2 linked regions of the Drosophila melanogaster genome follow. Changing the gene in region 1 together with any one later gene gives a genetic interaction. Each region holds a gene or a part of one and is shown on either strand. Other genes may lie near its edges.

Evidence for each region.
Region 2: of Rab21 (region 1) and mtm, changing one suppresses a phenotype caused by changing the other (phenotypic suppression), as found in Drosophila melanogaster (one study listed by BioGRID).

Annotation. Positions count from the first base shown.
Region 1 is NC_004354.4:23,008,045-23,019,205, forward strand, and holds Rab21 (Rab21), read right to left. Parts: upstream 5,366-11,161; 5' UTR 5,251-5,365; intron 5,221-5,250; exon of another isoform or gene 5,092-5,220; 5' UTR 5,063-5,091; coding exon 4,999-5,062; exon of another isoform or gene 4,938-4,998; coding exon 4,333-4,937; 3' UTR 4,096-4,332; downstream 1-4,095. Other genes in the region: Coa7 (cytochrome c oxidase assembly factor 7), read left to right, coding at 5,538-5,637, 5,775-6,064, 6,409-6,819.
Region 2 is NT_033779.5:6,030,322-6,043,494, reverse strand, and holds mtm (myotubularin), read left to right. Parts: upstream 1-6,479; 5' UTR 6,480-6,683; coding exon 6,684-8,217; intron 8,218-8,272; coding exon 8,273-8,598; 3' UTR 8,599-8,764; downstream 8,765-13,173. Other genes in the region: Pfas (phosphoribosylformylglycinamidine synthase), read left to right, coding at 1-1,420, 1,484-2,181; CG31643 (uncharacterized protein), read right to left, coding at 2,364-2,571, 2,631-2,826, 2,882-3,156, 3,208-3,487, 3,552-5,292; CG9117 (uncharacterized protein), read left to right, coding at 5,680-6,366; CG9109 (uncharacterized protein), read left to right, coding at 9,172-9,564, 9,620-9,756, 9,906-10,173, 10,569-10,701, 11,018-11,171, 11,636-12,191.

The sequences.
Region 1 (11,161 bases):
TACTGGCCAAAAAACGAAAAGATTATATTCATATATTCTCCAGAGAATGGAGAGGTTCATTATCATTATAATCATCAGATTATATTCATACTGCCTAGTTTTGTCCCACATTAAACCTATATGCTTCGGCTTTCTTATGTTCAACAAAGCTGCATAATACTTATGTATTTAAATACACAATCGATTGACAGAGCAACAAAAATTAAGCTGATTGCGATATAGAATAAAAATCGAAATATCTCCTTCAATTTTTTAAGAAAAACAAGCGAGTCAGCTAGTTTATCTGTTTTCCGTATGCCACAACACTGGCCGAATTCAGACTGCAATTTAAGAATAGTTTTAAACAAATCTTTGTGGTTTCTAGCTAAGCATTATGGACTGAATGTTATCGCAGCTAATCACATTCAGTACAATCTGCAATAGTTTTAAATTTGATTTGATTAAATTTAAAAGACGACTTCAATAAAACAATTTTATACATATTTATCTCCACGTTCTCCACTAAAACGTAGGGAAAATTTCTTGAAATGAAATTTAAGTGATTCAAAATGATTTGCAGTAAAAGTTGACAAGCACGAGATGTAAAGTCTTTGTTCAACATCCCTTTCGAATTTCACATTGAAGTATACTTTTACTTGGAACTAAAACGTTTTTTTTTGTTAATACGAATAAGTTATACACCTTGTTAAAATACAAACGGTCCAAGTATTTTTTTTTTTTTGTTTGTTTTAAAATAATTCCCAACAAAATACCTATTTACATGCGTAAGCTGACCTTCTCCCACTTAAGGCAAATGCGGGAAACTCAAAGTGCGTCTCTCTCATTTTCGATTTTCCTGTGTTTCTGGTTATCTATCTCTTTTTAATGCGCGCACAGTTCACAAACGTATTCGGCTTTGCAAGCGGCAACTGTTGAACCACCAGGATTGGATATCGTGGTAGAACTGTGTCTTGTGGCCAAATGAGGGATCATGGAGCCTGGCGCAAAGGTCGCAAAACGGGGAGCTGTAGGTCAAGCGGTAGTGGCTGCGCCACCAGAAGTAGCTTACATACAAATCCGGATCTGCAACCACAAGCTTCATATACTGGGCCAGACCTTCCACGGACATGAAGCGATTAGCATCGACGTACGAGTGCGGAGGCAGGATGCGGGAGTAGTCTGCTCCGCCAAAAACCACGGGTATTACGGTCCGTTCTAATGCGTCGAAAAGTTTCTCCGTCACGTAATCATCGCACAGCGAGTTCTCAAAAGCCAGGTAGAAAAAGTAGTCAGTGTCCAACATCTCGGCGCAGTGCGGATCCCCCCGGGTGCAGCTGAAATATAATTAATATTTAGAAAGTAAGCATCTGCGTTTAAAAAACAAGCAGTTTGCATGCCTACCGGTTGCTCCCAACTTAAGGCATTTCATTAAACTTGCGTTCTTTAGTTGCAAGCTAATGAGATACGAGTAAAGAATTTGCGACAAATAAAAACTTTCCATCAAGCGGCAAAACTACCAAAATGAATTATCTGAAATTTCTTAGACATTTTTTTTAATATACATATGCACATAAAACCACAGGGAATAACAGCATCAGTTTCTGCTCAGCCACTACATTTAATGGCTCTGCAGGCTTAGCGAGCGACTTTAACATACTTTTGTGCAGTGTGGCATTGTCATGCTGCGGGGTCATGAAGCATAAACTTTCACGAACTTGAGTGCAGATATCATAGTCTAAAAATATGCATATGCTTTTGGTATGTACTATTTAAAACTAATTAAGTTTTTTAATCATTTACTTTTATTGAGAGCTTAAGAAAGCTGCATGTGCATTTTGCATTATAATTTTGTTCAGCTAAAAGGTCCTCACCTGAGTGTTCCGCAGTTTCCGTAAATGTCCACTTCAAAAAATTCTTGAAGCCTATTGGCCAAGACCTCCCTTTTCGACAACGTTTCACAATGAGAGACGAACCAGGCGGCCGTTTTCGTCTTCCCCGACCAGAGGTCCCAAACCAGAGAATCGTTAAAGGCCACAGGAGGCTTCCTCCAAGGTGGTTTCACACTGGGCGCCACCACGGCGTCCGCTGTGATGTCCAGCAACTGCCCGTAGGGCCAAAATACATCCGAGTCAATGCGATAAGTCATGGTGAGGTTATAAAATCCTTGTTCGTCGTCCAGCCGGCTTAGTCTCCCCAGGCGGTTCCATCAATGCGAATACGTAGACCTGGTGGGGGCTTCTCTGGGAGGGCACTGGTCGCAGGAGCGGAAACATCTCCGCCGCATGGAATACAATGGCATCATAGAGTTCCACTGCGGGCAGGAATGCGTTTTGGTTGCTAATCTCGCACTGATAAACAGGACAGTGGAGCTCATCCCGCAGCTCCTGCGGTCCCAAAGTGTCCCAGGAAAGCTTCCATCGCGAATCACCAAAAAATTCTGTCCAGAGGAGAATGGTACGGGTGGATTGGATATACCGCTCGTGCTGGCCCCTTAAGTGATCTTGCAGGATTTTGTTTTGATTAAGGAGCGGTGACTGAGTGACTTTGTGAAGAACCACTAAGACACCGAGTAAGACAAGGAGGAGCAGCAGGAGAGCGCCGCGCGGCCCACAGGCCAACCGTACCGATCGAACAGCCATCGACATGTGCCCAACTCGACCAGATAACAACCCAGGTACTTCGAAGCTACAGTGAACCCTCCCTAAATACATAAAAAAGATGGCGATGGATTGCTTACGTATTTATGAAACCAAATTACGAATTATATACAATTGATAGAGACACACAAAATTAACATTCCCCACGGCATAAGTACGCTTGATAAATACCGATTTAAACACCTTATATAAATAGCTGAGTGCAACTTGTTGGCCGCCTTCACTGTACCAATAGCCGTAGTTCCCTGGCGAAAGGTGCGAACCCGATAAGGCAGTCCATTATTGATTGCCGGTCCGATATGTTCTTGAAACCCAACTACCAAACATACATAGCTCACACTCCACCCTGGCTGGAAAAACATTGGGCTAGATTAGAGATATCGTGCCCTGTAGCTCCACCTCCTGGAATCAAACTTCTGGCTCTCGCACTTCTCACATGGCCCAGGCAGCGCTTCAGGAACCGAGTTAGAAGAGACAGGACTACTAACTGAAAGCTAAATGGAGCTCAGAATCTGAGGTCGCAAATCTGCGAAATCTGCTGGACATTCGACTCTGGTGTAGGGACGCGAATTTCATCATTTCTCTGGCATATATATATGTATATAGATATTGGGGAATAAAATTAGAAGAAATTGTTTGATTGTTTAAAATATGGGCGTGACCGTTTTGGGTGTTTTGTAGGTGTAAGGAGGGGCGTGGCAAAAGTGTTTTTGGTATACCGACAGAAATTGGTAAAACAAACAATAAAACCAAGAAAAATCAAAACATTTTTCAAAAGTGTGGGCGTAGCAGTTTTGGGAGGCTTGTGGGCGTTAGAGTGGGCTTGGCAGCATATGGCCAACAATCTCGCGAGGCATCTATGTATATCTCTAGGACAGACGGACATGTCTAGATCGCCTCAGCTATTGATTCTGATTAAGAATATATGTATATACCTCATATAGTCGAAAACGCTTCTTTCAGCCTGTTGTTCTGTTCTGTTACATACTTTTCAACGAATCTAGTATATAGTATATCTAGTATATACACCACGAGTAACGGTTATAAAATGGAAGACTATCATATATGTACATACATAGCCCGAATATTATAGATTGGATATATTCTTAAATGGGTAAATACATACATATATGTTCGTTCACTTTTTGTTATAACAAAATAAAACTAGAATACTTATATATGTAACTAATTGTAGCCGAAAACAGTTTTGAAATTGGATTTCAATTAATTTCATTAATAGGAGAAGCTGTTGCGATGATATGATCGTTACATAAAATTATGAAAAAATATATAAAAACTTTATGTATTGTCTTCTATTGCACCATATATTTAAAGTGCCGTAAACTGTAATCTTGGTGCGGTTTAAAATTAATCACCTATCGCCTTGCAGAGCCATTAGCACCTCAACTGATAACGATGATTCAGCCCGGCCCCCAAAAAGCCTCAAAACAAGATAAGTGCAAGTACAAGATTGTTTATTACTGGGCGCTCAGGAAGGGCAAGAAAATCGAATGAAATACATATTTATATTTATTAATAAACAAAAATGTGTGAGGATTTTAAAGATCCATAATAGGGAATAATAAAAATACGCGTATTTATATTTATATCTATCTATGTATAATATATACACAAGATCAACATCGGTTAAAGGTCTACTATTTTATAGTTATGATTACTATCACAATGGGAACGGCTAAATGCCGCAACAGGACCGCTGGCCCGCAGGATCTCCGGGATCCGGGGCCTCCGAGTCATCGGAGTTGTTAAGGTTATCCGTATCCGGATTCTGGAGGCGAAGTGGACTCGCATCCGGTTGCCGTTGGCTCAACTGCTCCAGCATCAGCTGGGTCAGGAGCTCGAAGAGCTCAGCCACCCCCTCGTTCTCCTTGGCCGAAGTTTCTACATATTGAGCGCCAACCGTGCGCGCATATTGAAGGGCCTCATCGTGCGTTACTGCTCGCTGTTCCTCCAAATCAGTCTTGTTGCCGACGATTATTAAGGCAATCTCCGTGCCGCGCATTTGCCGGAGCTCCCGCACCCAGGATTTGACCTTCTGGAACGAGTCTCGGTCCGTTATGTCATAGACGAGCAGGGCGCCATCGGAGCCGCGATAGTAGATGGGTCCCAGGGCGTGGAACCGCTCCTGACCAGCCGTGTCCCAAATATTCAACTGCGCCCTTCTCCCATCCTCCAGGGACATCTTGCGGCTGACAAAGGAAGCCTGCAGGGTGCTTAGGTGCTGGGCATTGAACCGGTCTTCCATGTAGCGCAGCACCAGCGACGTCTTGCCCACACAACCTACAATTAAGGGGTTAAAGCTTTCAGGAACTAATTAGGTTTGTTTAGCTGCTAAACGTACCTTCGCCCAGCAGCACCGCCTTGAAATTAAGCGTGGGGCCGTTCCTCGTTCTGCTCGAGCTCATTGTGGTTTCCCAATAGCTAGGTGTCCTACCTTGATACGCATCAGTTTTCAGAGGACACGGAAAAACAAAAAAAAAACAAGAGGTAATCGAAAAGATTAGGTTTTTACGAGACCGCCAGTGTGGCTGTCTACCAGCACTATTGTAATGGCACTCGGCGATAAATGTTGAATAAGCGAGAAGTCACATACGTATCTGGCCACACTGCGGCCTCAAGCAAGGCCGAGAACTCAATGTCGCCGCAGTCATACATGAAAGATAGAAAATACAATTAAGCGATTTTAAATTAAACCATGTTTTAATTATGAGCAAAATATCGATGCATAGCCTAACATCGATATCAATAAAACCATCGAATGTATGCAGTATGGTGTCGATGAATCGATATTTTGCACGTTACTAACACTGAAGCACGCAGGGGTCCGGACGAAGCATAACATAATAATTTTTGGTTGTTATCTATTAAAAATTGCTGACCATGGCCTATGACTTGAAGAAGGAGTCAGACGTGAAGGAGTACGTAGAAAAGCTGGGCGTGGAATATCGATTCGGGTGCTATTCCGAGAAGAAGCCGGAAGGTGAGTGCGGCGGCGGCAGCGATAGCGACGGCGGCAAAAACAATTGAGGTCTATAACCTCCGATGTGCGGGAGGACAATTCGCGGGGCTTGAAGACATTGCATTTATGAGATAGCTAACTGGCGTTCTGCATTGCAGCGTGCCACTTGCTGGGCGACTACTTGGAGGGCATCAAGAAAGACTTTGAAAAGGCCTCCAAGGTGTACAAGTCGACTTGCGACGACTATGGTTACGCAAAGTCCTGCTACAAATACGGCAACTACAGTTTCCTTGGAAAAGGCAAGAGCGGTAGCAAGGGGAATCCACAAGTGGCCTACGAGTACTACGAGAAGGGCTGTAACTTAAACGACTCGGACGCCTGTCTTCACTCCGGCCTGCTGCTCGTTTCAAAGTCCATGCCTAGGGAGATCGACTGGAATGTGCCCAAGGTAAAGGTGTCGTATGGCGATCACGGTCCCAAGCCTTCAATAAAAGGCTAGCTCTTGGAACTGTTCAATTTGCTTAAAGTGCAACTATGTGCTGCAGTACATTCTCTCATTTGCCCCACCTGTTTCTCATTTGATCCTTGAAATCATAAGTCATTCGTATCGTGTCCAGATAATTGAACGTTTAATTGTAATTTTCTGATTATGTTCCAATGGATGTATAGACATATGTATGAATATAGTTTAGTTTGATCCAATTTAAAACTGTTCAATATGACCCCAGCAGAAAAGTGTTTAAATTTTATTTGATTTTGTGATTTGACATTATAATTTTACAACACCCGCAGGGCCTGGAGTTTCTGACCAAAAGCTGCGACTTGAACAACGCCACTGCCTGCTTTTATCTCTCCGGGATGCACATCTCGGGCGTGCAAAAGAAGGCGGATCAGAGTGCTGTCACTGCATCCTCCGGAAGTGGTACATCATCACCCCCCGCCGGACAACCGCCTTTAAAGGACTCCGACTATATTGTTCTAAAAGACATGAAGAAGGCTTTCCAGTTTGCCCACAAGGCTTGCGAGCTTCGCAATATGTATGCGTGTGCCAATCTTAGCCAGATGTACGCCCGGGGCGATGGGATCGAGAAGAACGAAAAGGAAGCGGAGAAGTACAAGAAGCTGGCCCTAGAAATGCAGGACGAGGTGAAGAAGCAGCATGATACGTTAGGGTTCCAGCAGGGCGTGGGCATGCCTAATTGATAATGCTTGATTCCTGATATTATCTGCTGCTACTGTTTTTAGACCTTGCTTCAGGTCAGGTCAGGTTTTTCTTTACCTTCTAGCCCTTTTCAGTAATTTTCAGTCAGTCTAATTTTGGTAGTTAAGCTAACTAACTTGTGTTTGAGATTTCTGTGTACATAGCTGGCACTTGCATGCGAAAGAGCGAGAAAGAGAAAATAAGTAACAATGGAAATTCCTAGATTTAATTGTTAAAGTTATTAAGTGATGATGAACCCTTTAAAAATTTTGTTGATACCTTATATGAATATACAAACAAGTCTTACCAAAAAAGTAGACAAAAATCTTCAGTTAATTGTGTTTTAGTTACGGTTGCTTGTGCACAAACTGTTGTTCTAATATTAATGTAAGAACCAGTACATTTTTCTGATCAGAATCGCCTGCTAATCCGACAGCCTCATTTTTTTTTTAAATCTAGCACATTATAACGTAATTAATCGTCTTGTAATATCTGCATGTCCTTTCCTCGAATACCTTCTCATGAAGATGTGCACTACATTCGTTCTAAAGAATGTAAAAGGAAAAATAATGTGATTCTGCTTCGTCCACAAGTCTAAAAAACTATTGCGTTTCTACACATACAAGTCTTTCAGGCGTAAAGATGTCTTTATAAAACATTCCCAAAATATTTTAAATTTGCAGCTAGAATATAAGTCGGAATGGAATCATATATGTAGATATGTAGCTGAGAGAAATAGTCGAAACCTTCGGGGTTTTTGATCAAAAAGTTATTTTTGGTTTATACAGTATATTAAATTTCGGCTGGAACTGGATCGAAATTGCTATATCTGCTTTTGGCTGGACCTAAATGAAAATTGGTCTACTTATCATATACATAGCTGCCATGGTAATAGTCGCACGAGAAATCCGAATTTCAAATTATTAAGGTAACTTAAGTTAAAGTTTAAAACAAATGTTCTTCAAACAATTTATTAAAATATGTGTATAAAATATTCGATTTTCTTTTCAAATTTCATTGGGATACTATACCAAAACGGTTTGTAGCGTTCGGTTAATGTCAGAGGCCATAAACTATTTAAGCATAACAATAGCTATTTCCTTTTAGAACCATTACTGCTCAAAGTATGAGGTATTCTGGTATTACTACCAACCAATCAAACACCTTAAATGCCTTTTTTAAAATTTTTATGTTAAACAAAAACAGCTTCTAGCAAGGTGGTAAAAATTTATTTTTCCTGGTAGCCAAAAATTCTAAAACAATAAGTACAATAATACCCAATTATTTGTCTATTAAAGAAACATTGGTTAAATGTAATTGTCATGATTTGTTTTCGAGAAATGGGCAAGATTTTGTTAACGGAAAACAATAATATTTTAAGCATATTAAAAAAAATTGTAACAAAAGTATTGACACAGGCGTCCCCGCCAAAGGAATAGGCAACACTTCGCAAAAATGTGGCTGTGATGAACTTTATGGGACCTCACAGACTCAAACTGTGTGCAAGTACTAAAATATCCCTGGTACGAAGGCCTTTTAGTGCCATTATGATAGAACTTTACAAATTCTTACAAATATTATCAAATTGTAAAATATTCATACGAATCATTAAAAAATTAATATGATAATTGTGTAATCTTGTTGTAAGGAATTTAAGTATGCATGTAAATGGTTCTGAACGGACTGTATCTATATACAGTCTGTTTGTGCAACACTTTCTCTGTGTTCATTGTCAGCTTGACCTACTGTCATTTCAAGAAATAGACGCTTTATTAAAAACTCTCTTGTCCAATTAGTTGCTGTTTAGTTACAATAAATGATAATAGCTCCTTCCCGCTCTATCTCACAATATTCTTTCATATGTATGTATGTACATATTTGCATTCACATACAGCTGCGGTTAAAATAATAGCACTACTGCAGGTGGAAAGTTCATTTCCTAAAAAAAATTATTAAATGTTTATATTTTTTAAAGTAAGTTTGCATGAATAATAAGTACCATATGTTGGCTCTCTGAACAAGAAATTTTTAGTCTCTCAATGTAACGGTTCTTTTTGTTTTTGGGCACTTGCTGCTAAAGTGCGCGAAATGAGGCGGTAACAAAAATAGCACTGACCACGTATTTACTGAATAAAATTAATAGGAGTGATTGCTTTGGGTTTTTTTTCGACAAATTTTGAAAAAATGAGTTGTATTAAAGGTTTTTATTGATTTTTTTCCAAACGAAGTCCAAAAATTCTCTAGTTATGGGTCGCGGAAAGCATTGTACCGTCGAAAAAAGAAATTTGATTAAAAACTTGATCTCTGAAGGTAAAAAATACGCTGAAATTGGTCGCATTGTCGGTTGTTCAAGTAAAATGATCCGCAAAGCACTGCTGTTTGTCGAAAAGAACGAAACACGGCGAAGAAAGCCCTCAATGTCCAACGTGGAGATCAAGCGCTTGGTTCGGCAAGGCAAGAAGGAGCCTTTTAAGCCGGCGACGGAACTCAAGAAGGAGCTTCAGATAGCTGAAAGCGTGGAAACTGTTCGCAAACGCTTAGGACAAAACAACCTTAATGCGTGCAGCCCAAGAAAAGTCCCGCTTTTGACTGTTAAGCATGTGGCAAAGCGAACCGAATATGCCAAGATTCCCAAGGACTGGGTTGTGGAGAAGTGGCACAACATTTTGTGGTCAGATGAGACCAAAATTGTGTTGTTCGGTGGAAAAGGCTCTTGGTCTTATGTTCGGCGTCCACCACAAACTGAATATAATCCTCGCTTCACCTTTAAGGCGGTAAAGTACGGGGGATCAAACATAATGGTATGGGCGTGCTTTTCATACTATGGAGTAGGTCCGATCCATTAGATTCAAAGCATCATGGATCAGCACATTTACACAGATATCCTGGAAAATGTGATGCTGCCATATGGAAGGGATGAAATGCCGTTGGTTTGGACATTTCAACAGGATAACAACTCAAAACACACGAGCAAGAAAGCTCGAAAGTGGTTAGAGCAGAAATCGATCCGAGGAATGAACTGGCCTGCTCAGTCACCCGACTTGAATCCAATCGAAAACCTTTGGGCGGACGTGAAAAAAAAGGTTTCTGAAGCCAAACCCAATAATAACGATGATCTTTGGGGTCTGGTCAAGGATCCATGGAGCAAAATTCCTTAATAACGGTGCCAGGACTTGGTGGACTCCATGCCAGGACGATGCGCGGCTGTCATTGCCAACAAAAGGTCACGCAACCAAATATTAAGATTCTTTAAACATAGTTCTTAAGATATAATCCATTTGTTGAATTATTTTTTTATTTCTTTGGTTAGTTTTAGCAAACTACGAGAAACAGTGCTATTTTTGTTACCGCCTAAATTTGAAGGTTTTTTTTTTTGTTTTACCAATTATTTTTAAAATATCCATTAGATCTGTTACTTTTTTTTATTTCGATTGAAAATCATTGTAGTATTTAAGTTTAGTGAGTAAAATGATGAAAAAGTGTCAGAAAATAGAGAAACGCTGGGACAAACACGAAATGTGCTTATGGTGCTATTATTGTTACCGCAACTGTATCTCCGGAGAATTTCGCCTAGGCGGCAATCAGAACCATGTCACGTAAGTCGGGAATATGCTCTGAGACAATGTGAAAGTAATGAATTGTTTGTTGAACCCATCCTGTAGAGTTCTTGACGGCAGTTTGGATAAGCTGGAAAAACAATGTGGGCAGAACTTTAAAATTTTTTGTGGCAAATTTATAGAAATTTATAGGGCTTATATAAATATGAAAGAATAGAGAATGCCATCGTCGAGATCCCTGACCCGTTACGCAACTAGTGGGCATGCAAACGCGAAATTTATTCGTTTTTCTGGGATATCGATAGATATTGGGAAATAAAATGAAAAAAAAGAGTGACAACATGAGCCAAAAAAACATGCGCCGCTTCTTTGCCTCTAGAATCTGTATGCTGAATCTCAACCTTCTAGCTTTTATAGTTCCTGAGCTCTCGACGTTCATACGGACAGACAGAAAAACGGATGTGGCTAGATCGACTCGGCTATTGATCCAGATCAAGAATATATATACTTTATATAGTCGAAAACGCTTTCTTCTGCCTGTTGCACACTTTTCAACGAATCTAGTAAAGATTTTTACTCAACGAGTAACGGGTATAATTAACACGTTTTTCAAGAGTGCGGGTTGCAGTTTTTGGCGGTATGTGAGCATTAGCGTGGGCGTGGCAAATCTTGCTTTGAACTCAGATTTCCCTTCTTCGCTTTTAGAAGTCAACTAATTTGTTTTACCCTTTTGCGATTTAGGAAATTTTCGGTCACTGTTGAAACGGCATGCTGTTACCCAGAGTAA
Region 2 (13,173 bases), on another chromosome or scaffold:
GACTTGAAACGCGAACAGACGCCGCTCAAGGAGTTGAGTCTGCCGAAAGGTCTCCTTCTGGACGAGGCCTTGGAGAGAGTTCTTAGCTTGGTGGCAGTCGGTAGCAAGCGCTTCCTGACCAACAAGGTGGATCGCTGCGTCGGTGGATTGATTGCACAGCAACAGTGCGTGGGACCGCTCCAAGCTCCACTAGCGGACTACGCGTTAACCACCGTCTCCCACTTTAGTCACTCTGGAATCGCCACTTCAATTGGTACACAGCCACTAAAAGGACTGCTTGATCCCGCCGCAATGGCCAGGATGTGTGTGGCTGAAGCGTTGAGTAACCTTGTGTTTGTAAAGATCAGCGAACTGGCTGATGTCAAGTGCTCTGGCAACTGGATGTGGGCTGCAAAGCTGCCCGGCGAGGGTGCCCGGATGTTCGACGCCTGCAAGGAGCTCTGTCAGATTCTTGAGGAACTTCACATCGCCATCGATGGCGGAAAGGACTCCCTGTCCATGGCGGCTAAGGTGGGCGGTGAGACAATAAAGTCCCCGGGTACTCTTGTCATCTCCACCTATGCTCCCTGTCCGGATGTGCGGCTAAAGGTAACGCCTGATCTTAAAGGACCCGGCGCGGGGTCGAAGACTTCCCTGCTCTGGATAAATCTGGAGAACAGCGCTCGCCTAGGTGGATCGGCTCTGGCTCAGGCATACGCGCAGCAGGGCAAAGATACGCCAAACTTGACAAGGAGTGATGTGCTGGGCAAAGCATTTGCTGTGACTCAATCGTTGTTGGGAGATGGACTTATTCAAGCAGGACACGATGTCAGCGACGGAGGATTGCTTGTTTGCGTATTGGAGATGGCCATCGGAGGACTGAGTGGCCTTAGAGTGGATCTATCGGAGCCCTTGGCCAAGCTCAAGAACTTCGATAAGTCTGTCGAGAAACTTAATCGTCCCGAACTAGCTGTTCTCTTCGCCGAGGAGTGTGGATGGGTGGTGGAAGTCCTGGACACAGACCTGGAACGAGTTCGATCTACCTACGAAAAGGCAGGAGTACCAAACTACTATTTGGGCGTGACCGAGGGATTCGGACTGGATTCCAGAGTGGTACTCAAGAACGGCAAGTCAGAGCTGCTGGACCAGCCACTCCGTGTGCTCTACAAGAAATGGGAGAGAACCAGTTACGAGCTGGAAAAGCTTCAGGCCAACCCTGAGTGCGCCGAGGCAGAGTACAATAGCCTTGAGTATCGCCAAGCACCTCAGTATAGGGGACCTCAGAATGTGCAGGCCGAGCTTACTCTCAAGCGATCCTCCGCCCCAGTTCGCGTGGCCGTGCTCCGTGAGGAGGGTGTCAATAGTGAGCGCGAGATGATGGCCTGCCTGCTGAGGGCTAACTTCGAGGTGCACGATGTGACCATGTCGGATCTTCTTCAAGGTAAACTCAATGGTAAATTCTAATAAAGGGGGAAGTACTAAAGCAAATAATTTAATATTTCAGGCACCGCAAGCGTGTCCCAATACCGCGGACTAATTTTCCCGGGCGGCTTCAGCTATGCGGACACTTTGGGATCCGCCAAGGGCTGGGCAGCAAACATCCTCCACAATCCCCGCTTGTTGCCTCAGTTTGAGGCTTTCAAGCGTCGTCAAGATGTGTTCTCCTTGGGCATTTGCAATGGTTGCCAGCTGATGACACTTATAGGATTTGTTGGCAGTGCAAAGAGCGAGGTGGGCGCAGATCCCGACGTGGCCCTGCTCCATAACAAATCGCAGCGGTTCGAGTGTCGTTGGGCCACCGTGAAGATTCCAAGCAATCGCTCCATCATGCTCGGAAGTATGAAGGATCTGGTTCTTGGCTGTTGGGTGGCTCACGGCGAAGGTCGCTTTGCATTCCGCGACGAGAAGCTCATTAGCCACTTGCAGTCGGAACAGCTGGTGACATTGCAATATGTTGATGATGTAGGCAAACCGACGGAACTGTATCCACTTAACCCGAACGGTAGTCCTCAGGGAATTGCTGGCCTTTGCTCGTCGGATGGACGTCACTTGGCCCTCATGCCACATCCCGAGCGATGCTCCTCCATGTACCAGTGGCCCTATGTGCCATCTTCATTCGAAGTTTCCCCCACACAATCGGAAAGTCCTTGGCAGATTATGTTTAACAACGCGTACAATTGGTGTGTCAAGTCGAATCAATAGATATTCTAGATGAATTGAAAGCAGTTAAATAGGTTCTTGGCATTTATGACCTGATATATCTAAATACTATATACACGAATTTGTTTACTATTTTTATAAAATAAACTTAAACACTCAAACAACTTTAAAACTCAAATAAGCGTACTTATGAGTAATGTCGTCGCAACGAATAGAAATGAAAGCTAATGTGAAATTTGTAACAAGCATTTAAGGTAGTTGGCCTTGGCTGTTGATGACGCCATATACTTGGAGTTCCAGTCGTGCTCGTTGATCTGCATCACTTTGTAGCCCATCATCTCTAGATGTCGCATCTTCAAAGATTCAGGACCCCGCAATGCAGTCAGATCGTTTTCACAAAAAGAGTCGAGCTTGAGCAGTAGTATTGCCACTCTGAAATTGGAGTCATTAATGAAGTACCTGAATAAGGTAACTTCCATTTGTGTGCCTACTTGGTTATGCGATCCAACATGGTTGCCTCCACGGGAGGTGCTGGGATGGGATTTTTATCCCGATCGAAATGTATCACAAAGTCTATTTGGTAGCCGTAGGGTGTAGTGTGGTTGCAGCGGAAATGCTTGTCATTTTGAAGAAGCTGATGCAGCAGCTGCTTCACCTCTGTTGTGGACTCACTGGGTATTAAGGATTCTAAAAAGATAATATGATAAAGAACGCCTAATACAGAATTGTAGTTATATGTTACTTTTGCTGATCTGCGCCTCGATGTAGTTTTGTTGAAACCAGGGCACATTCGCCTCGGGAAAGTCCAGGCATACTGTGCGATTCAGTTGCATAACCAGGTTAAGGACCCTCTCCGGATACGTTGCTTTTGAGTAGCATACTTGTATCTCATCCTCGATTCGCTGAATGAATTTCACGCAGAATACTTGATTGATTAGCTGCTCTGGTATTGATTTGTAAAAGCACAGTGCTAGACAAGCCTGGACAACCGATAAACCGCTCATCTGGTCAAAATCTCTGATGGAAAGATTACATTTTAGATCTGCCTCAAGAAATGTTTATGCCCACCTTAGCAGTACTTCGGAGGCGTGGTTTAGAGCCTCCACGGACGCTGGCATGTAGCCCAAATTATACGAGCAGGTCAACACTTTCTCCACTGTGTCGCCGGAAACGTGATCATGCTGTTCGGAAATGTAGGCGAACATGGACTCCAGGAGCTCGGGAACAAAGAAATTCGAAGCGTTGAAGTTGTAGGCCATGTCCCGAACCACCCGAGAATTGAGATCGTTGCAGTGCAGATTTTTGTACTGCGCCAGGGCCTGGTTGTAAACCACCGTATTCTTTAGCTCTGTAAAGGGATAAAATTGTTTAAATTTGTTTATATTTCAAATGAACCAAAGTTATCAACTTACTCTTGCGATGACTGAGTGTTCTGACAATCATGCTCAATTCGCTGGCATTTAGAGGGTCCTTTTCGGCATCTCTCAAGTGCCTCTCCGCACAACCGATGAGAATGCTGTCCATTGTGGACAGTTGCATGCCAGCTAATGCCGGAAGATGCTGGCGAAACCTTAGTTCGCTGGCTATTTGCATGCCGCGACTGAGGAGAAAGCAATCCTGAATGCCAAGCTGGGGCGCCATTGCGAGCATTTTGCTTAACAAAAAGTTGGGAAATTTCTTCCAGGCCAACGGAGTCTGCCCGTAAGCTAGCACAAAGGATGCAAGTCGTGCGAACTTCGCTGGCAGCCTTCCCGCTATGTCATGCTCAATAGCATTCATGCACATGCGACTTAGCTTTCGTTCCAGTTCTAAGTGACGGTAGGTTCCTCCCAGATTGTTATTAAAGTTCATATAGCGTTGACAGTGTCTCAGGAACCGTAGGTGCAAATGCTTTTCCGGACAGGACTCCAGCTCTTTTACAACTCCTGACCAGTATGTGTTGCAGAATTCAATGTCGGAGACTTTTAGTGCACGCAGAACGCTGAATAAATGTCCGCTCGCATTGGGTTGCTGCCAGGCCTCTTCGGAGTAGAGCAGTTCCTTAAACTGATGCAGATACTGGTCTCTCTGCAGTGGCGTTGCAAAGGGAACTGCACAAAACAGGGCGTCAGCAGTGCCTTCTTCCTGTAGTAACTTTTCAAGGGCTTTCTTGAGCGGCTCTATCAGTGCGGCGGGTTCTTGATGATGCAAAAATGTGCGACAAATGCTCTTTAGATCTGCAGACTCCATCTGGTGTATGCAAGGTCGCAAGACCAGCATGACCTCCCGAATCAATTGGGTGTGGGTCTGCGACCACACTGGAATATTCAGCATGTGGATCACCTTCAGAAGAGCCTTAGGGGTTTCGCTGCTGAGGACGCCGCTTTGCATCATTTCAGTCAAGCGCAACTTGAAGCGCGTAAACAGCTCCTCATCAATGAGAAAGTGTAGCTGAAAGAGGCACGTGGACAGAAGGCGAACCTGCTCTGCGCTGCGACACCAATTGATGTGATGTTCCAGGTGCGGAATAAAGTTCCTACACACAAGCGGAGTGAAGAAGTCGCGTTCCAAGTTGATGCCCACCGAGAGGCGAGACAAGGAGGTCAAGGGAATGACTTCGTCATCAACTTGTGACTCGATTAATTGAAGAGATCTCGTCAGCACGGCCTCCACGACTGCCTCGGAGTTTGGTATATGCATTTTGCGCAGGTACAGGTAGCATCTACTGAGATCATCGATCTCCAGTTGGTGTACATAAGGGGCCAACTTTGGGAGCACGTTAAGCAGCACGCGATCCGTGATGGCATCTTTACTTGCCTGCTCCGCGTCGTGATAGATGTTCCACAGCAGTGAGATTCCCATCACCACATGGGAGCTCTGCAGGCCGTCACAGCTCTCCAACACATCTAAAATCTGGTTACCCGTCTTGGCCTCCTCCAGTCGGGTTAGAAGAGCATCCTGTTCCCGTGGCACGCCAAACTTGTCTTGGAGATCTCCGTTCACCAGCTGCGAGTGCTTCCTCAGTTTTTGGCCCAATGCCGGCAGCAAGGCAGCTGTTTGGATGGGCGGCTTTGCGCCAATGTTAACGTGCCGTCGCAGGAGCTGAAGCTGACGCACTCGCAGAAGGTATTGTAGGTACTTCCATTGTGTCCGCGGCAGGTGGTTCAGATACATGCCACTTTATCTCACGCTTATTCAGAAATCGTTGAATAATAACAAAATTACGCCGTATAAACATGTGAGTGAATTTTTGGCGATCAGCTGGTGTCGGTGTTGCCATGAAATCCTAATTTCCATTATACTGAAACCAATAATGGAATCAATGTGTAAAAAAAAACTTAAAATAATTTCTGAACTGTGATTAGCGGTATACAAGTTAGATAAGTAATTACTTAATTCGTAAGTAATTTGTTTATTTCGTCAAAAGTTTCATAGTGGCAACTCTAGTTTTCAACAGGTTGTTGACGAGTTGACATTTCTGTTTGTAAGCAACAGCTGATAAGCAGCTGACCCTAAATAATTTAATAGGCTAGAGCGTTATCGTTGTTAAACAACTAAACAATGGCATACACTGATCCTGCGCAACGAAACCAGGTGACCGTGCTCCAGGTCGGCTATTCTCGCCAAGAAGAAGGAGACGAGTCCGCCATGCGGGCTAACTGCACATGCACACTGGTCCGCTGCCGGGATGGCACCAACATAATCGTGGACACACTGACGGCCTGGGATGGAGATCACCTGCGTTCGTTGTTGGGCCAGCAGGGACTAGGCGTCGATGACATCCACGTGGTGGTCTGCTCTCACGGACACTCTGACCACATCGGTTGCAACTATCTGTTTCAGAAGGCACGAATGCATTTGGTCGGCGCATGTGCCTCACATCACGACCTCTACATGGACCACCTTGGTAGTGGTAATCCAGACGAGCAACTGGCCCTAGATTCGAATGCCGAGGTGGTAGTGAGGCGGTCGCCAGGACACACCCTCAGCTGCGTTTCAGTTCTTGTGGAAAATTCCCAGCTGGGTGGACGGGTCGGTATCACCGGAGATCTCTTCGAGCGTCGCGAGGACATCGACGATGAGAACATTTGGATGGACGCTGGAAGCGAAAACGAGAAGGTGCAGCGCGAGGAGCGCAGTAAAATGGCACAACTGTGCGAGTTTATAATCCCAGGACATGGTCCGATGTTTTCTGTCACACAATCAATGCGCTGTAAACTTAAAGAAGACGCCACTTCTAACACTTAATTTATTAAGCATTAAATACATATGTTAGAGATTTTTTTAAAAGCGGAATTGTTCTAGCTTTCCTTGATTACCAGTTAAATGTCTGAAATAAGTTGATTAATTCCAATACATAAAAATCAAATTTTCCGCCACTACATAATGTCCCTTTGGTACTTTTGTCGGAGGAATGGGAAATTATTCCAGATGATTTTATATTGCGTGAGTTGGCAGCACTGCTGCATGAGTTTTGGTGAATTGCATTTAGCTAACAATTGGAAAAGAAAACACAGCTGCAACCAGCAACACAATAGCCAAACACCACTCGTGTCCATCCGAAAATGGATCCCTCCGCGAGCCTGGCCGACAAGTTGGCCTCCAAGACTGCCAGCAGCAACTCTCTGGACAGCAGCTCCAAGTCCAGTTCGCTGGGCTCCAAGCACGGTGGCGGAGAAAACGGCATTCTGCGGGACACGCCCTTCGGCTATCTGGAGGGCGAAGAGGACCAGGACCAGAAGAACGACGTGACCTACGTGTGTCCGTACCGCGGCCCCGTCTTCGGCGCTCTTACCATAACCAACTACCGTCTGTACTTCCGGTCGCTTCCCCTGCGGGATCAGGAGCCGCCCGTCGTCGTCGACGTGCCTCTGGGCGTGATCGCGCGTGTGGAGAAGATTGGAGGTGCCACGTCTCGCGGTGAGAACTCGTACGGCATCGAGATTTTCTGCAAGGACATGCGAAACCTGCGATTCGCCCACAAGCAGCAGAATCATTCGCGGAGGACGGTGTTTGAGAAACTGCAGGCCAACGCCTTTCCGCTCTCGTACAGTGGGCGCCTCTTTGCATTCGCCCACGCCGCGGCCAACTCTGTGAACGGTAACGGAGGCTGGGACGGCTGGGCGGTATATGAACCGCTGGCGGAGCTGCGCCGCTTGGGCGTTCCCAACGATATGTGGCGGGCGACCAAGCTAAACGAGTCCTACGCAATTTGCGACAGCTATCCGGCCGTGTGGGCTGTGCCCAAAGCGGCCTCCGATGATTTCCTGAGGCGCGTGGCACAGTTCCGATCGCGCTGCCGCCTGCCGGTTTTGTCCTGGATGAACCCACGGACTCAAGCGACCATTACAAGGTGTTCCCAGCCGCTGGTGGGTGTAAGTGGCAAGCGAAATTCCGACGATGAAGCATACCTAAGCTTTATCATGGAGGCGAACGCCCAGTCAGACAAGTTGACCATCATGGATGCGCGACCAAGCGCCAATGCGATTGCTAACAAGGCCAAGGGCGGCGGCTACGAGTCAGAGGACGCGTACAAGAACGTGGAAATCAACTTCCTCGACATACACAACATCCACGTGATGCGGGAGAGCCTACGCAAAGTGAAGGAGGCTTGCTTCCCCACCACCGACGACTCAAAGTGGCAGACGGCTATTGACAACACACTGTGGCTAAAGCACATTAGGTGCATCCTGGCCGGCGCCGTTAGGATTGTTGACAAGGTGGAGACCATGAGCACCTCCGTCGTAGTTCACTGCTCCGACGGCTGGGATCGCACAGCCCAGCTGACTGCTCTTTCCATGTTGCTGCTCGATCCGCACTATCGCACAGTGCGCGGTTTCGAGGTTCTCATTGAGAAGGAGTGGCTCTCCTTTGGCCACAAGTTCCAACAACGCATTGGTCACGGCGACAACAAGCACTCGGATGCAGACAGATCTCCGGTGTTCCTGCAATTTATCGATAGCGTCTGGCAGGTTAGCCAGCAGTTCAACAACGCATTTGAGTTCAACGAGCACTTCCTGATAACCATCGTGGATCATCTGTACTCGTGCCGCTTCGGCACCTTCCTCTGCAACACGGAGGCCGAGCGTGTGGCCGAAGGTTAGACTGATTGCTGTTTGCATGGGCTTGGAAGTAATTTTCACATTTATTGTAGATCTCAAGCACAAGACAACATCCCTGTGGACGCACATCAACTCGTCGCTGGACCAGTATTTGAATCCACTCTTTCCCTCGTTCACGCACGGCGCCGAGCTAGTGCTGCGTCCGATTGCCAGCGTGAGATCGGTCCGCTTGTGGAAGGGCCTATACTGTCGCTGGAATCCTGGTCTGTGCGCTCCTCAGCATGGCTGCCAGCGAACCCGCGAACTGCTATCCAAGCAGGACCAGCTCTTTAAGCTCGTCAACGAGCTGCGGCTCAAGTCGAACAACCGCAGCAACAGCATGCAGACAACTACGCGACTGGCCTCGCCTATGCACTAATAGTATTGCTTTTTTATTCCCCCTACTTGTACGCATATGTAGTGCACGTATTGTGAACTACGTTCTAATTCCAAATAAAAGTTTTTCTTAAATGGAAAACTAGTCGATTCAACATTGTATCATTGAACCACATTATCGAATCTAATTAAAGTGTTAAATGTCTGAGAATGTTTTAATTATTTCATGAATAACATCATATAGTTCAAATCGTATAGCGTTTTCGCAGCTCAGTGGAGCTACTTTTATATGTGCCTTAAACTAGTTTGGATGTCAAAAAGATACCTAAACAGGTGACCAACTGTTGCACGCTCCTTGTGATTCATTCATAAACACCGCTTCATAGAGGCGCCTGCGCGTTGGACTACGCACGTTAAATCCCGAATCCCACTTTTGACACCACAGGACACAAAACATTTCGGCTTTGCGCCAAAATTAAATCACAGCTGCCTCAGTACGACATCGCACGTTCATTGGGACAGACGTGTTCCGATTTCCGGTAGGAAAAGGGCAGGTGTTTGTAAAATATCAGGAAATGCGTTCGGAACTCTTAGAGTTCCGCAATAGATATTAGTTATGCCTACTAGGATATGTGTGCTGTTTGGGCTTCTGTGCCTCGCAAGCTTATGCTGCGGTAGTAACAAGCCAGGAGAGGTGCTCCTGGTTATCGCCTGTCCCCCGCATCCTCAGCAGGCCAGAAGTGATTGTTTAGCCTTATCGCACAACGTGCTGGAGCAGCAACGGGCACTGGAACTGGCGGGGATCTTCCCCGAGGACTTTGTCCTGAAGGTCCATGTGATGCATGAGCTCTTTAACTCCTGGACCATGCTGGACGCACTGCCTCATCTAAGAGCCCAGGCACGTGTGCTGGGTGCGCGCACGGAATGGATTATATGGTGTCAACACAACACGCGTGTGTCTTCGTTGCGCGGCCTGCTCGAGCAACTGCGTCGCCAGAACCCAAGGGAGGTGAGTTTGTCACTGGAGGCCACAACTGTGTCCTATATCCTTGTGCCTCCTCCAGCTAGCTTTCTATGGGCACGCCCTTTACGATGCGGAGGCAACCATCATCCACCACTTCTCGAACTACAAGGATCCCCAGCGGTTTCCATATCCCATGCTCAGTGCCGGAGTCGTTTTCACTGGTGCTCTGTTGCGAAGGTAAGTCCTTTTTAAATGGCATATGAAAGTAAGTTATTACAAATGCATTGAGAAAGAAGGGATAAGTTGATTTAAGTATTTGAAATGTGTCTCGACAATTGGTAACTCGAACATTGTTTTACATTCTTGAATGAATCACTTGTTACCAGGTTGGCGGATCTGGTTGCTCCTAGTGGCCAAAACATCACCGTTCACAGCGATTTCTCCATTGATGCCTCTCACGAGCTGGCTCGCTTTATTTTCGACAATGTATCGCCCGACCCGCATATTAGCACCCCGATTTCCGGAGGAATCCTGCTGAAAAGTGCCAGCTACATATGTTCCACACCCACGTCCGTGCCAAACAGGAAACTGCCTTGTCTGCTGCATGCGCAGCCGGAGGAGCCACTGACTTTGGGGCAGCGGAGAAATGGCTGTGTAAGTTTATTTATGCCTGGCATGCCTTGTTGCAGCAAAATCATATATCATGCTAAGGGGCTTTTGATTAAGATGAGGTATTTGCAAAAATGTCAAAATTTCGTTATTTTGCATGAATGTTTTTAAGTTTACCTGTTTGTACTATTCAGTACTATTTTTTGAGACACCTGTGTTTGAGATATGCTTATCTAAAAACGGACAGCAAACCTTTAAATCAAAGTTCATTGAGTGCTTAAAATTTAAAACCCACATACATATAGATAGCAGATTCAAGATTCAGCCCGAGCAATTAGCATTTGAAACCTCCATAACCATAAATTGTCTATCGACCCCGAACTGAAACCCTCCGTTTCCGCAACTGCCGTATTTTGGCCACCCCAAAACCGGACGAGCAGGAGCACACAACAGGATCGCATATATACTTCGCCATCAAAACCTGTGCGAAATTCCACAAGGAACGCATACCAATCATCGAGCGCACCTGGGCAGCCGACGCCCGGAACAGGAGATACTACAGCGATGTGGCAGGTGAGCACCCCGATGACAATGAGCGGGCAATTAAACCGAATGGGTGGGGGATCAGGAGCAGCGGGCGGTGCACCAACAAAAACACAGTGACAGGCTGACTAAACACATCCACACAACCATATCATCCATATATGGCTGGGCAAACAGTGAATTTCATCCAGCGTGATTGGCCATTCACCACTCGAAATTCCCAGCCCAATTCCCCAATCCCCTGCAGCGCCCGGTGGCGAGGAGTCCACTTATTGAATATTCATTGATTTGACTTTCCGTCTTTCCGACTTTCCTGCTCCTTCTGCCCCAACGAAAACCTCAACAGACGTCGGCATTCCGGCAATCGGCACTGGGATACCCAATGTGCAGACTGGACACTGTGCCAAGACAATGGCCATTCTGCAATTATCCCTCAAGGACATCGGCAAGCAATTGGACATCCGCTGGCTTATGCTCGTCGATGATGACACGCTGCTGAGGTGAGACTCAATTTACAGATTGATTGATAGGTATGAATGGGGATACTTTGGATTAGCCACTTCCTCGGAGGTTCAATAGCCAACTCCATGAATTGATGGCCTTATTATTACAGACCGCTGCTGATCCGAGATTTATTTTTTTTAATTTATTTAAGTAAAGCCAGCTTTGCACTGTGTATTGCGATTGCTACCCTATAAAGTAGATTGTATATACATTGTCGATCCGTTTTGAACTTGAAACTTAAGCTCTCATGATAATTTATGTTGGTGGGTTCCCTCATATATATTTTACGGCCTGAAAGTCGAAATCTTCATTATTCATAAACTCCACCGAAAGGGTATTCCAACTTCGGCTTGTCGAAGACTCTCCGCTCTCTCGTTTCCAATTATATTTTCCGACTCAATCGCATGACGGCGCATTCAATTAAAAATGATTATATTGATATACCCGGTTCATCGGGTAGCCTTCATTTGATTCACACCCATTTGCCCACCAGTGTGCCACGCGTGAGCGCCCTCCTCTGCCGCCACAATGCCACGGAGCTGGTGTACCTGGGCCAGCGCTATGGCTACCGGCTACACGCTCCCGACGGCTTCAACTACCACACTGGAGGAGCCGGCATCGTGCTCAGCCTGCCGCTGGTGCGGCTCATCGTGCAGCGCTGCAGTTGTCCCAGTGCCAGTGCCCCCGACGACATGATCCTGGGCTACTGCCTCCAAGCGCTGGGCGTGCCGGCGATACACGTTGCCGGAATGCATCAGGCTAGGCCGCAGGACTATGCCGGCGAACTGCTGCAACTGCATGCGCCGCTGACCTTCCACAAGTTCTGGAACACGGATCCGGAGCACACCTACCGCCGCTGGCTCGGTGGCAGCATGGTCAACCGAAGTGCCCCGCTGGCAGCACACAAGGAGCAGCCCGCTGCCGGACCACTCCACATGACGATGGGGCGACATTCCTTGGCCGCAGGCGTTGGATTGCTGCAGCAAACGGGACTGGGCAAGCACCTGGATCTCTGAGCCGCTCTGAGGTGAGTGGGGTGAGTGCTGATGGGCCAATATCTGCCGGAGTCAGTTGAACAGAAGTTGGCGGGCAAACCAGAAAAGCAATCTGCTGGCAGTCATCAAGCGGCTGCCAAGCACACAAATTCTCATTTTCTATAGACCGAAATTAAAATTGGGACTGGTTTAGTCGCAACTCTGTGCATTCGTCTGTTTTGCGGCTTTCGTGTCAGTTTAATTAGTAGAAATGCTCAAATGTGGCTGCGATTTTCCTTGGCGTTATTTGGGCTTGGAAAATATTCATTTTCCAGCATTTCGGGGACATTTTCCGCTGACACAGATTCGAGACGTTCTAGGGCAGCTTAGAAAACGCAGCTCAAAAGTGAATCTGGCCAGTGACATTACTGCCACAAAGAGGTTAATGCAGGACTAGAAAAGCGATCCTTAAATTGGATTAAAGAGCTAAGCAATTTAAATCACATCTTTGTTATATCTTTGGGTTGAAAGAACTACCTTGCTTTGCTACCTTTCTTTCACTTTTAATATGCCACTTTTCCGTGAAAACCTGCCACTAGTATAGTGGACAGATCAATTTCCCAGCAACGCAATGCATATAATTTGCATTCGATTCCGTTCGACGACACTTTAATCACATCGCAGCCCAAAGTACCTGCTTAAATCAACATTTTTTCGCACCTCGGCCGCACTTTGACCTCATTAAATGCAAATTTTTGAGGCTTCAAGGGACGAATTGCTGAATACTTCACTTTCGAGGGCATCAACAGTTTACGCTTGAGTGCACTTTTCGAATGGCTGGCATGGCACTTGGGTGGTGGCCACGTTGTACCGCCATTCGGCCATCCGCCCAGCGCGTATCCTTCGGATAAACAAAGGGGTCAATCTGTACGGAGCGGAAACTCTAGTCGAGTACTTTAAGTGCCATGTCTGCTTACTTATCTGGCCCTCTTTAAAGCGCCCAATGCATCTATTATTCAGGACT